2 linked regions of the Arabidopsis thaliana genome follow. The protein of the gene in region 2 interacts with the protein of the main gene of each other region in a pairwise test. Each region holds a gene or a part of one and is shown on either strand. Other genes may lie near its edges.

Region 1 (5,885 bases), on a different chromosome or scaffold from region 2:
AGCTGAGGGTTTTAGCGAGGTTTCAATTAAAGGGTGAAAATGTAAGAAATTGAAAGTTTTGAGGGTGAAAAAAAAAAAAAAAAAAAAAAAAAAAAACCGAGGGTAAAATAAAAAGAACCTGTCAGACCGCCGTGCGACCACCCCGGCAAGGAAGACCAAGCCGAGTAACGATCCTCTACAGCACCGGATGCGTCCGAAGACGATCGTAGCCATCAATCACGCTCTGACCGCACGGTCATGGTTCATCAACCAGGGTTTAGGGCCTGTCTCCTTAGAAATCAAGGAAACAGAGGTACGAGCCTATAGAACAGATCCTGTTCAAGTAAGGTCGTGACCATCTATCTTTTGTGTCCTTATATATACAAATTGGTTTTCTGCTGGCTTTTCGATGTGGGACATTTGACACTCTTATTTCCACACTTAATCCAACTATCTTATGACACGTGTAATTAATTATTTAGTAAAGGAATTGTATTTTAAAAAAAAATTGAGATCCCAAGTTTCCTCAGTACCATAGGTTTTCTTAGTTTACCTTAAAGATATGCAATGGTTTCTAATACAAGTACATTGCATTGCATTATATGTAACATCTAAATCAGTTGTCCATGGATATGCAATTACAAAAAGGAACCGATTACTTACATACAGAACCTATTCAAAAAGAAAAAAAAAAAATTTAGTACCAAAGGCTGTGTGCCTGTGATGCCTTAGAGATTCCTCTCGTGTGGCTCGAGCCAAGGAAATCCTAAGAAATCAAAAACTTGTTTCTCCGTTGAGAGTTTCAGACTTGCAGTTCCTCTAGCACCCTGAGAGACAAACATTATCACAGCTTCAACATAATCATTCTTTCACTTTAAAACCCAAGAATTCACATCAAGTTAATTCACTTTTCTCCCTTACTTACCCGGTTACCACTAGAACTGTGAGTAGCTGGGAATAGTCCAGTGTCGTCAAGTCGATATCCTTTCGATTCTGCTAGCAATCTCAGCCTGCAGTTATCATCGCATATATATATACATATGCTGTGTTCTTTATCTACCAACAAATGTGTTTAGTGAGACATGTATACAAATGAAATCATATCCATACCTTCTGTTCAACACGTCGTTCCCTGTCCAGGCTATGAGTCCAAACGAATAGATATCCCTTGGATAGACCTATGAAAAAAGACTATTTATTGAATGATCTTCCGGGAAGAGATCAACCTAGACATAGCTGAATCAATCATGGTATTGTCCTTTTTATCTTTGACTAACCCACTTAGTTCTTTTCTGCATTGTGTGACATTAGGAGTTTTCAGGTGTTACCTTAAAATCGATACGGCGCCGTAGCTCCTGACCAGGATAAGTGCACAAACCAAAATACGTGTCAACGCCTGAATCAGTACCCTGCACAATAAGGGAAATCATTGAGGAGCTGTGATTGAACAAGAATTTTTGTTACACATGCAACTCTGAGAGAACAAAGCTTTATCTAATGCTAAAAGAGATCATTTTATAAGATACTGAAACAACTGAAGTAATGTGTTTTCAATGAAGATGAGATCCTCTCTTAAATAATTTTATCAGATCATCTTACCTCTTCACTGTGGGTGCTGAAGATGAGATCCTCCCTTAAAAAGTTCATTTCTTTTAAACGCTTTACAAACTTTGTCAAAAATCCCTTGTGACTGGTCAGGACAATAAGAAAAAACAGTTTAAGTAAACTTTGTTACAGGAAACTAACGCAGGAAGATGAGGAAAGAAGATTGTAGGTACCTTTGTCCATCAGGATGGGTGACAACGATATCCAGATCTCCACAAGTAGCTTTCCCACGTCTATATGATCCTCCACATACAATATTCACCTGCAGTAAAGATGTTGGTTAGGATTTCACTAAACTTTTATCACCCAAATATGGAGCAGACCGATAAACTGAATAGTTCATACGCCAGGCAAAGTTTCCTCGCCGACTCTCTGTAAAAGTTGTTCCATCTCTTGCACCTACAATACAGAAAGTGAAGAAATATGAGGAGAAAATTACAAGAAGGATAATAAAGACAAACAAAATTCACGTTGAAGTTTAAGAATCGCACCTCCTGACGTGGAATTCGTGTTTTGATATCATCAAAATATTTCAACCCCAACTTCTGTGCATGCGTTAGTGAATCCTCATTCTTCAAGTCTTCTAGTGTGCGATGTCCTTTCTCATATAGCTTGAGTGCAGTTGCAGGACCGACACCCCAAACTTCCCCGAACAAACTGATTGTACGAACCTTCAACCATAGTAATGAAACATTTATAGTGGTAAACAAAACATATCAGACATCTCTAGCTCCAGTTCGGTCATTGACAGTATTTTTCTTTAAAGAGAAAAAGGAACAAGAGAAAAGCAAATGGCCTCTACATGTGAGCTTGTATCTAATTGAAAATGGGAGATAGCAAAATAACTATAACCAAGGACTTCAAAATTACCTTCTCATCTGTTTCAAAATGTTCAAGCTTGGACAACTTCCCTGTTGTCACAATCTCTTGAATCTGCCAAATTCAGGTAGAAGAATAAGACTTTGTTCTCACAGAAATACATCAAAACAAAGGTTATAGGTATGCACTAGGAAAAGGGTAAGTGTTTGCAGTTTTGACACCCACACACAGAACCTAGACAAAACATTTGAAGCATTTCTCAACTTACATGATCTCTCATTGCCTTTCCGATTCCAGGGAGGTGTTTGAGCTGATCAACGCTTTCAATCCTAGTGGGGAACTTTTCAATGACGGGGATAGCTTTGTAATAGCTAAAGGACCGTCTATCTTCACCCAAAGCTTTTGAAAAAAAAGAAAGAGTATTGTTACTTACTTACTATAAGCGAGTAGTCTAGAATACAAACACCAGAGATTGTACCTCTATATATGTTAATTAACTTTCCAAATATCTCAGTGATATTTCTGTTCAAATCGGGTGGTTTGTACACCGATGTGGACTACAAATCAAAAGAAGATCAATGAGAACTTCCAATATCAACAACATTATTTCTTTCTGAAAATGCAGATATAGAAAACAGGTTTTTGTTTAGTTAACTTCTAAGAACCAAAAGGATGCATCAGCAAAGGAGTCACTCAGGCTTACCTCTGATTGTGGACTAGTGGGAGTCTCTGCGATGCCTTCTCCAGGACTGGCGCTAGTAGAGGGAACACTGCAACTTGTTGGTGAATCCGGTGATCCTTGTGTATTGCTATGACTTTCAACGCCTTTGAAGTCACCAGCATCAGGAGAATATCTGGTTCTTTTTTGAGGTGAAGATTGATCCTCGCTACCACTTATTGCAGGCAAAGACTTTTTCGGCTTATCAACTTCTTCTGAGTCAATTTTGAGAACATACAAATCTTCATTAGCCTTCTCTCCTGAAGTTAGGCTATCTTCTAACCACTGGTAAAGCATAAGGCGCTGCAAGGAACAACCAATGTATATAAACTTGTAACACTGGATAATCTCTATTCGTAGATAAAACTTGTACCCAATTAATCTAATCGTAGAGAAAACTCATGAACAACACAACAGATAGTTATAAAAGATTGTTTTTTCTATATGACGAAATCCATTTTTTAGTAAAAACTGAAAAGAACGAAAAACCAACTTACTGCTGTAAAATGCGAGAGACGTTCTTTCCCAAATTTGTGGAGAAGAGCTTCGAGATTCATGGCAAGAACATGAGTGACTTTCTTCGTTACCCGATCTTCTTCGATCACTGCACCCATTTGAACCAGCTTCTGCTTCCAGATCTTCATTCAAATAGAGAGAAAATTACAGACATAGCATGCAACAATTAAAAAGAAGATGTTAAGGAAATTTGTCGAAGATGATGCAAGTAAAATAACACTGAACAAAATTTTCAGAGTAAAACCTGCAATCGACGACGCTGGACTCCGATTTCAACCATGAAAACTACCATTCCGGCGAACATCCCTTCCGGGTCCGGAGACGGCGACCGGTTTCTCCCTCGCTTTGCCGCCATTTTTCTCGCTTTACTCGTAACTCACTCGAGTTTTGTCCACCAAACTAGTATATGTCTTTCAAAGCAGGAATACCCCAATTAGGCAATTACGCTCGTTTCAACGAACCGAATCGGAACCAAACCGAAATAACCTGTTCTAAACCGAATGAATTTTTTCCTCATTCAACGACCAACTTTGACTTAAAATGCCTCTCTTTTGTTAGTCAACACCATTTTTCATGAAAACTTCCTTGAATTAAAATTAAATCTCACCGTAAGGAACAACAAATGTTTTATCTCTCGCTTGAATCATTTCAACGTCATAAATAATGAAACAACAACTAATGGTGCAAAATTACAGAGTGACAAAGTCTTCTTCACTTCAATGTCTCTCCTAGAAGAAAATTTCTACTTCCTTTTCAGTCATCTCAAGAACATGATCTCTAGCATCCGTGAGCGCACTCTGGATAACACAAAAGGGAAATTTCTCAGCAATGTCGAGCGAAAGATTTGATTATCTCCATTGCACCATATGTTTCTTACCTGTCCAAACTTGGTGATGAAGTTGTTCCCAAGGTTTATCGATGTAACTGTGACATCTTCATTGGCCTTCAATGCTTGAGCAATGGCGAATGCTCCATCATCCTACAAATGAGGCAAAATAATAAGATTGACCTGCTTACAAGTCTTAAAAGAAGACACAGTATTGATAAACGAAGTAGCGCTTTTTTTTTACCCGTATTTCATTGAATCCTAGATCCACAGATGTCAGAGCTTCATTAACTACTTTCAAGCTTCGAGCTAAGCAGGAAGCTCCCTGCAAATAACGTACCACATACATTATGAAAACATATAGTTCGTAGCTATATTAGAAGTACAAATCTGATACTCATAAAATCTGTCTGCAGGAACCTCATCTCTAAGTCCATTTGCCCGCAAGTCCAAAACCGAGATTGTATTGTTATATCTCAACATGTCTGCAACATGTTCAGCACCCTTGGCAGCTATCTGCAGGAATAAGAAATGAAAGGAACCATGACAAAACGAAATAAGTAACTGTGAAGAAATACTTTTGTTCCTAGATAAAGAGTTATGGACAGGCTTTACCTGACACCAACCAAGTTTGAGCGTCTTTACATTTCCATGGAACTTGAGAATTTCAGATAATGCTTTAGCTCCGTCTGGTCCTATGGGATTATAACCAACCTCTAACTGAGGAAATATTGAGAGTGGTAGTGTCATTATCATACTAGTTATACGTAAACAAGGAATCAAAGATGAGAAGGGTTTTTGGCACTGACCGTCGTAATAATTGCATTATCTTTCAGAGCTTGAGCTATAGCATTAACTCCCTCCGCGTGGATGTTATTTCCACCCTATTTTACCAAAAACGTGTTAGCAGAACAAATAGCTCGATATGGACGCAAGGAAAACTTAGGGAGGCTGGAGAAGATGGTCACTTCTCACCAGGTCAATGGTTGCAATTGAACGGTTTTGCTTCAGAGAATCTGCAATCTTTTCAGCTCCCTGAAACCATTGAAAATCTTTAAGATAGACAACAGAGCAAAAAGAGACAAGGTTTTCCGATATTAGAGAAGCACAGACACAATCCAGATTATTGTTATAAATTGGATATATATGTACCTCATCACCTATATCATTCATGTACAGGTTCAGCCAAACCAAGCTCTTGCTTCTCTTGATGTATTCAGCTACATAGAAGGCACCCTTTGCGGAAATGGAGTTGTTGCCGAGATCTAGCAAAGCCACTTTCCCTGCACACGAAAATGCATCTCGGTATAACTACTGAATTCTACAGTAGAGGTACGGAAGAGTTAATATAGACGTATGACAAGTGTTCTATTGGAAAACCTTTGTGGGAAGATAGACCAGCCATCAAAGCACGAGTCCCTT
Region 2 (8,591 bases):
TCCTCGCTCTTCTCATCATCACTTCTTCCACTCTCGAAGCTTTCAGCTTTGTCTGTCGACTCTTCCTCCTCAACTACTCTCACTGAAACTTCTTTGTCCCTCAGTGCTCTCAGTTTTGCCTTCTTTGCATTTAAAACAGAAAGAAACTGCATTGACAAAAATTTCCTCACAAAGAAAAAAAATGGGAAAAGAGACGAGTAGGTGACACTATCTCAACCACATGATCGGAATAACCGCTTAATTCCAAACCCACTTCTCACGACATTATTTAGACATACATATTTGTTTGCCTCTCCTTTTAGTCTAGTGAATGCTATTTACGATTTGGAGAAGAGTCATATTAAACAAGGGGTTGTTATAGGGTCATTTTGCCCTATATTGTCTAAAAGCGGCTATTTACAGACAAATCTTTGGGATGATTTTGAGAGCCTTATGTATTTGGAAACCTGAACCTAACTTCAGTGTTTTTTCTTCTTTTCTATAACAGTTTTTTTACTTTTTCTCCAATATATTAATAATTAATAAGCACACAATTCTTTAGAGTATTGATACCAAATAAGCAAGTTTGATCAGTACTCTAACAATTCTTATGCTCTATCAAAAAAACATTGACAAAGCAAGTCTCAACATTTTGAGGATGAAGATGGCATCATTTTCTTGGTGGTTCGATGAGGAAGAATCTGAAGCCGCGGATTAAGGTGAGTGCCGAGATTCTCCAGCTGCTGAACTAATATATCTGCCCGTCTAGGGAAAGAAGCTCCACCGATTCACCTACCAGGATTACAAATGTATTCCTGCATTTTTGAAAAAGAGATTTAGCCTAAAATGTTAATGGACGATCAAGGTTCTTTATCTCTCCACCACCGAACATGGTTAAACTAACATCAACCTAGAGGGTTTACGAATGATCGAACAGTGATATTCTATCTACGTTACTTAGACGCTTCGTCTTATACAACTTAGTGGGCATTAAAAAGTTTCTTCAAAAAAAAAAAAGGACGAGTGAAAATTTTGGATTGTAGAGACTTGAGAGTAACTTAAGGGTCAAAATCATTACATGAAAAATGATTTAAGAGTAATGGACAAAAAAAATGATACATACGATCAATTATATAAGAAACTGATCCATTAATTCTACAAAATATTGCTTAAAAGTTTTGCAAAAAATGCTGACAAAAAATGAAAAAAGAAAACAGAAAGATGTTCCGGCATTAAGAAAGATGTCAACCACATGAGCTGAATAATTCCAAACCCATTTATCACGACATCACTTCAACATACTTGTTTGTTAGTATCTCCTTTTGGTATATTTTTTTTTGCGTGTTTTTGGCTTTTACACACACCTAAAACTTTGATTGGTGGCTTTTTCTTTGATTTAACTTAAAATAAAGTAATGGAAGACTTGCCAAGTCAAGCTCATGTAATGGAAGTCTGGCCAAGTCAAGCTCGTTACAGAGAATGTTCCTATATAAATAATAGTGTGTAAGCAGACAGGTTCATCACTTACCATTCAACAAACAAATTATCTTTGTCTCCAAACAACAAAATTGAGAGGCGATGGTTCGAAACCAATCTGGTTGCTTTCTTAATATTATTATTACCTCTTTCTAAATTAAGAGTAATGGACCAAAACAATGATATGATAAATTATATTATATAAGAAACTGATTCATAGATTATACAAAATATTACTTAAAAATCTTGCAAAAATATTGATAAAAAGAAAAAGATGTTGCGGCATATAGAAATATGTCAACCACATGACCTGAGTAATTCCAAACCCATTCCTCACGACATTACTTGGACATACATCTTTGTTTTTATCTCCTTTTGGTATTTTTTTTGTGCGTTTTTTGGCTTTTACATTTCTAAAGCTTTGGTTGGTATGCACTAAAACTAAGCTCCCTCCTTGATTTAACTTACAAATAATGTAATGGAAGACTTGCCAAGTCAAGCTCCTTACAGAGAATTTTTTTTATATAAAGAATAGTGTGTAAGCAAACATGTTCATCACTTACCATTCAACAAACAATTTATCTTTGTCTCCAAACAACAAAATTGAGAGGCGATGGTTCGAAACCAATCTCGTTGCTTTCTTGGTATTATTATTACCATCTCTTTCTTTTTCTTTCTTCTTTCCTTACCAAACACTTTCGCTTCTCCCACACGGTCTTTGTGCCGCAGCGACCAAAGAGATGCTCTTTTGGAGCTAAAAAAAGAGTTCCCGATCCATTCCAACGGGAGCCATCATGTAACAACACTTTCTTGGAACAAGACCGTTGATTGTTGTTCTTGGGAGGGTGTCACATGTGATGCTACATTAGGAGAGGTGATATCACTTAATCTCGTTTCCTATATTGCCAACACCTCTTTGAAATCTAGCAGTAGTCTTTTTAAACTCCGACATCTTCGTCACCTAGAGCTTTCACATTGCAATCTCCAAGGAGAGATTCCTTCTTCAATTGGAAATCTTTCTCATCTCACATATCTTGATCTTTCTTTCAATCAATTAGTAGGTGAATTTCCGGTTTCGATAGGTAACCTAAACCAACTAGAATACATAGATCTTTGGGTTAATGCTCTCGGAGGTAATATTCCTACTTCATTTGCCAACTTAACAAAGCTTTCTGAATTGCACCTCCGTCAAAATCAATTCACGGGTGGGGATATAGTATTATCCAACTTAACTAGCTTGTCCATTGTAGACCTCTCCTCCAATTACTTCAACTCCACGATTTCTGCTGACCTTAGTCAACTCCACAACTTAGAGCGATTTTGGGTGTCTGAGAACTCATTTTTTGGACCTTTTCCCTCATTCTTGCTCATGATTCCTTCGTTAGTCGATATTTGTTTAAGTGAAAACCAATTCGAAGGACCTATTAATTTTGGGAATACCACTTCGTCATCTAAGTTGACAGAGTTAGATGTTAGCTACAACAATCTTGATGGGCTAATCCCAAAATCTATATCTACATTAGTTAGTCTCGAACATTTAGAGCTTAGCCACAACAATTTTAGAGGACAAGTCCCTAGTTCTATATCGAAATTAGTCAATCTCGATGGTTTATATCTTAGCCATAATAACTTCGGAGGACAAGTCCCTAGCTCTATATTTAAATTAGTCAATCTCGAACATTTAGATCTTAGCCACAACGATTTCGGAGGACGAGTCCCTAGCTCTATATCAAAATTAGTCAACCTCAGTTCCCTTGATCTTTCCTACAACAAGTTTGAAGGTCATGTACCTCAATGTATATGGAGATCTTCTAAGTTAGATTCAGTGGATCTTTCTTATAATTCTTTCAACAGTTTCGGCAGAATTCTAGAACTTGGGGATGAATCATTAGAAAGAGATTGGGATCTTAGCTCAAATTCCCTCCAAGGACCAATTCCCCAATGGATCTGCAACTTCAGATTTTTTTCCTTCTTAGATTTTTCCAACAACCATCTTAATGGCTCAATTCCACAATGTTTGAAGAATTCCACTGATTTCTACATGTTAAATCTGCGAAACAACAGTCTAAGTGGATTTATGCCAGACTTCTGCATGGATGGCTCAATGTTGGGATCACTTGATGTCAGCCTCAACAATTTGGTGGGGAAACTTCCAGAATCTTTCATCAACTGTGAGTGGATGGAATATCTTAATGTGAGAGGAAACAAGATCAAAGACACGTTTCCAGTCTGGTTGGGATCTCTACAATACCTAACGGTTCTTGTGCTCCGATCAAATACATTCTATGGTCCAGTCTATAAGGCCTCTGCCTACTTAGGCTTTCCAAGCATGCGGATCATGGACATATCGAATAACAACTTCGTTGGATCATTGCCACAAGACTATTTTGCCAACTGGACTGAAATGTCATCGGTATGGCAACGACCTATGCTCACACTTGATTACAAAAGAAATATAGCTATACCAGGGTCAAACTACATGGGAGATGATAATCATCAAGATTCAATTGATTTGGTGTATAAAGGAGTAGACACAGATTTCGAACAAATCTTTGGAGGCTTTAAAGTCATAGATTTTTCTGGAAACCGATTCTCTGGACATATCCCTAGATCCATTGGTCTATTGAGCGAATTGCTTCATCTCAACTTGTCAGGCAATGCATTCACAGGAAACATCCCACCATCTTTGGCTAGTATTACAAAGCTCGAGACGCTAGACCTATCGCGAAACAACTTGTCAGGTGAAATTCCTCGAGGTCTCGGGAAACTCTCGTTTCTCTCCAACATCAACTTCTCCCACAACCATCTAGAGGGATTGGTGCCACAAAGCACACAGTTTGGAAGTCAAAATTGTTCTTCATTCATGGGTAATCCCAGACTCTATGGACTCGATCAAATTTGTGGAGAAACCCATGTCCCCATACCTACATCGCTGCACCCCGAGGAACCTTTGTTGGAACCGGAAGAGACAGTTCTGAACTGGATAGCAGCTGCAATAGCATTTGGACCTGGTGTGTTTTGTGGATTAGTGATTGGACATATTTTCACTTCATACAAGCACAAGTGGCTTATGGCGAAATTTTGTCGAAACAAGCGCAAAACCACCATAGGTACTTCTTAACACTATCTCTCACAGTTCCTCTAAAAATTCATCTAAGTTGTTGTCGAGAAACTACCTCGTCATGTGTTTGTCTTTGTGATTTTTTTTCTTTTGCTTTGTAATTTTATGTTTGTAATATTTTCTCACCATTTGGTAATAAAATATGGTTCGTGTGATGGTCTATGTTTCTTAGTTATCACAATTTGGGGCTTGAAGCTTTCTAACAATCAATCATGCCATCTCTAAGTTATTGCATTTACTTTCAGAAGTAATACAAATTGTAAATTATTTTTTTAAACCAAAGAAGGTTTGACAAACAATTTTCCTAGCTATGAGTTTGACAAAACTTGGAATGGAAACTCTGACCTGAAAATCTCACGGCAGGGCAATCTCTTAGCTTCGTGCAGCTCTCTTCCCGCCACGGGCTTTGCTGCTTGTTGCCTTTTTTGAGGCTTCTTCCTCGCTCTTCTCATCATCACTTCTTCCACTCTCAAAGCTTTCAGCTTTGTCTGTCGACTCTTCCTCCTCAACTACTCTCACTGAATCTTCTTTGTCCCTTAGTGCTCTCAGTTTTGCCTTCTTTGCATTTAAAACAGAAAGAAACTGCATTGACAAAAAAAAGAAGTAACTAACAGATCATAAAAACCAATGACTCTAGTTTAAGCAAGAACAAACCACGATGTGGATATTAAGCAGAGTAACCAAGGTGATCGAATAATTCATACCTTTGCATAAGTTGCACTCTCAAACTCTGTTTTTTCGTCACAGAGTTTTTCACCTTGCGCTAGACATCTCTCAGCTTCACTTCTCATCTTCTCAAAAGATCTCGTCTTGTTCACCACTTCTTCCTGTGTAAACACTAAAGTATTGAGAGATTGACACATATCTTCCAAACACAAATCAAATTGCCATTTCTAACAAAGCATAGATCAAAGAACTTAAGCTCTAATTCATCATCATTCTCAAACATCACAACAAATCCTCACAATTCAGAACGTACAGTATAAGAGTCATACACTTAGCCTTATGTTAGCCTCCATAAGAAAATCCAAGATCCCAACAGTGATCTTCTTGCTATCATCTGATGGTTTACATTTCCACCTCCACTCAAGTTTAGTCCCTTCCTTCTCAAACGTCCAAGAGAGCTTTAACCAAAACACAATCAAAGACAACAACAACATCCAAAAATCTCAGGCTTACTTCAAAACACTAACGAATGATCCAATAAGAAGATCACTGACCCGTTTAGATCCCTCTAGAGCATCGGAGAAACTATAGACCGAATTAGGTTGTTGAAACCCTAAGTATTGCTCGGCGAGCTTTAAATACTCTGACACAGGCTGGTCCCATTGTGCTGCTCTCTCCGCCACTTCCTCCTCCGTCGCTTCAATTTCGAGCAAAACCAAAATAAAAATCAGATTCGAAAAACGCTAGAGGCTAAGTGATAGTGTGAATTTAGGGTTTTTTTGTTTACCATTGCAAATCCAAGAGGAGGAACCATCGGTGACGGAGATATCGAAACGAGAATTATGCCAAGTGCCTTTGACGAAAATTGGATCGGCGCCGGAGATTTCGAGACGGAGACAAGTGTGTTTCGTTTTCTCCGATTCAACCATTGTTTCGATAAAAGTCGTCGACGAAGATTTTGAGTCAACTCCGATCATAATAATGTCTATAATTTGTTTTGGTTTTGCTTACGTGGATGCTGAGTCAGCTTCGGTATTGTTTTTTTTAAAATATATTTAGTGATTTTACTTAAAAGAAGTTGTTAAAAAAAAAAAACTCCCATTACATATAGACAATTTAAGTAATTATTAATTTTTTTTTATTTTTTTATCACAAGTAATTAAAAATTAACAAATTACTGTTTTCATTCAGTAAATTAATTAGTAATTATTACTTTGAAGCTCATCAAAAGATTGAAGAATATCTAAATTAGTTTGGCAAATCTTTGTATTTTGTATCCTAACCGAAGCTTATCTTTAATAAATAAAAAATCCGTTAAATGTTGTTACTTACATTTCTTTTTAATTTTTTTAATCATACTTTTTTCTAATAATATACATATAATAATAAAAATGCCTTTTAAAAGAAAAAATTATATTATGTGTTTTCCTTTTTAGTATATTGAACTCAATAAGAAAGTAACTCCACCACTATTGTTGGATGATAAACGATGTTAATATGGCATGGCACAATCGTATGATAAGAGTTCATGCAACTGTGAATGAGACGAAATGCAGTTATACGGATTTGAAATTTTTTCTAAAGTTTATTCAGGTCGCGCCTTAGTGGATTTTATACAATGACGTGATTTTTTTTATGTATAATGTAAAATTAAAATAAGTAAAACTTCTATAAATTAACAGTCGCTCATCAATAACTAGAGTCTTGTTTCTTAAAGACGATGACGACCTATTAAGTTATCTTAATGAGAATGTGGACGATATTGAGCCCGAGTGGTTTATTCTTGACATTTCCACCATTCGTAGTGCTATGATTGGAGCAGCGGGTTGGCCTTCGTCCATCCCCAACTACAATCCCAAACATATCATTGAGAATTTGGGGTGTAGATTGTTAGGACTTCAATTAAAGCAGCTACATCATTAATACATAATTTGAACGGATCAATTGAGGAGAAAGCTGAAGGATGTGGTTACACAATTTCTAGAGTTTTCACACAGGATGAGGATACAATTCATATAACTAAACTCTGCAAAACAATACAAAAAAAATTGATGTAGTAAAATAATATAATTGAACTCTGCGTAAAAAACCAAACAATACTAAAATCATATTTTACTAAATTTTCTTACATATATTGATATTAATAAGTTTATACAATTCTTAGTTTATGATACTAATGAAACCATATATTTCTATAGGATTTTTGAATAAATTATTACTTTATTTATTTTATCAAATAATGTTAAATATTATATTCACTTGACTAGAAACCAAATTTTTTTATTAATTTATAGTGATTACTAATTTATCGAATATTAATCAATAGATGTTTTTTGTACAATTTATTCACATGTTAAATTTAAAATTACAATTGTGCTCACTTCATTTCTTTACTTAGTCTACATTATCTGGATATCGTATAATTATTAAATCGTGTTCATCATCACTGTAAATATACTATTTTAGATTTAACTTTAGTGAAATATGCATATAAACATTAACATGTTTTAAGTTGATTTTCATATTTAAATTTATCTTATTGTAATGTTGATTTTTTTTTTGGCAAATTGACAAATTTATTTTGATTGTTCGAGCATAAGAAAATAACTGGTTACTATTATAAGGTACATGTTAAACTATTAATGATGTCACAGAATCTTAATTAACAAATGTATTTGTCGCTAAAGACTTCAGACTTCTAGTTGTCTTTTTGGTTTGTAAAATATTTTGAAAGAAAATCATGTTTCCAAAAATAATTTGATACAAAATCAGGTTTCATTTGTGCTCGGAAATTTTGTAAAAAGATTCGTTGTTGTGATCATTTTTAATACACGGATGAAAGAAATATCAATTAAACAAAAACAAATATTAGAAAACGTCAAACCCTATTTGTTAATTCACTTTAGCTAACTACGACGTCTATATACATCTCCCAAAATATAAAATATTATTATATATTTGTGAAATTAATTATTGTTTTTCTGTAACCATTTTTGGAGAATTATTATTGTTTGGCTATACTCTTATAGACAAATGGGACCGACCCACTTATTCGTTGGATAGTCTTTCTTTTACTCCACTCAGCGCATAACCTCTATCACACACAGCTCAATCATCCCACGTCTTCTTTTCTAAATCCCCTATTTTACCCTTGAACCTATCACCGATTCGATTTCGACTCTTACTTACAACAAGGGCATATCAGGTATAATTTAACATAATGAGAGATGCTTATCTTAAAAATTAAATATCAAACCAGGGTGGTGCAATGTGTTTTTCAATAAGAGTTTAGGTGTGGGATAATCAAAATCAATGAGCAATTAATAAGATTGGATGCTATGCCAATAAG

The links. The genes of interacting proteins can lie anywhere in the genome.
Region 1: the proteins of XRCC4 (region 2) and Pol{lambda} interact in a two-hybrid assay, tested with the Arabidopsis thaliana proteins (one study listed by BioGRID).

Annotation. Positions count from the first base shown.
Region 1 is NC_003070.9:3,464,071-3,469,955, reverse strand, and holds Pol{lambda} (DNA polymerase lambda (POLL)), read right to left. Parts: upstream 4,031-5,885; 5' UTR 3,993-4,030; coding exon 3,882-3,992; intron 3,760-3,881; coding exon 3,619-3,759; intron 3,425-3,618; coding exon 3,107-3,424; intron 2,961-3,106; coding exon 2,882-2,960; intron 2,803-2,881; coding exon 2,672-2,802; intron 2,518-2,671; coding exon 2,455-2,517; intron 2,256-2,454; coding exon 2,076-2,255; intron 1,984-2,075; coding exon 1,930-1,983; intron 1,847-1,929; coding exon 1,758-1,846; intron 1,670-1,757; coding exon 1,579-1,669; intron 1,389-1,578; coding exon 1,308-1,388; intron 1,158-1,307; coding exon 1,090-1,157; coding exon of another isoform or gene 1,032-1,089; exon of another isoform or gene 990-1,031; coding exon 905-989; intron 807-904; coding exon 708-806; 3' UTR 501-707; downstream 1-500. Other genes in the region: emb2004 (RNI-like superfamily protein), read right to left, coding at 4,366-4,434, 4,515-4,616, 4,708-4,788, 4,884-4,979, 5,079-5,183, 5,273-5,347, 5,439-5,498, 5,616-5,746 and 1 more. UniProt on the Arabidopsis thaliana protein: Repair polymerase involved in base excision repair (BER) and responsible for repair of lesions that give rise to abasic (AP) sites in DNA. Has both DNA polymerase and terminal transferase activities. Has a 5'-deoxyribose-5-phosphate lyase (dRP lyase) activity.
Region 2 is NC_003074.8:8,218,349-8,226,939, reverse strand, and holds XRCC4 (DNA ligase IV-binding protein), read right to left. Parts: upstream 6,259-8,591; 5' UTR 6,220-6,258; coding exon 6,030-6,219; intron 5,940-6,029; coding exon 5,797-5,939; intron 5,701-5,796; coding exon 5,572-5,700; intron 5,404-5,571; coding exon 5,281-5,403; intron 5,159-5,280; coding exon 4,949-5,158; 3' UTR 4,922-4,948; exon of another isoform or gene 4,792-4,921; intron 4,577-4,791; coding exon of another isoform or gene 2,069-4,576; intron 795-2,068; 3' UTR 540-794; downstream 1-539. Other genes in the region: RLP37 (receptor like protein 37), read left to right, coding at 2,069-4,576. UniProt on the Arabidopsis thaliana protein: May be involved in DNA non-homologous end joining (NHEJ) required for double-strand break repair. May bind to DNA. The LIG4-XRCC4 complex is probably responsible for the NHEJ ligation step, and XRCC4 may enhance the joining activity of LIG4.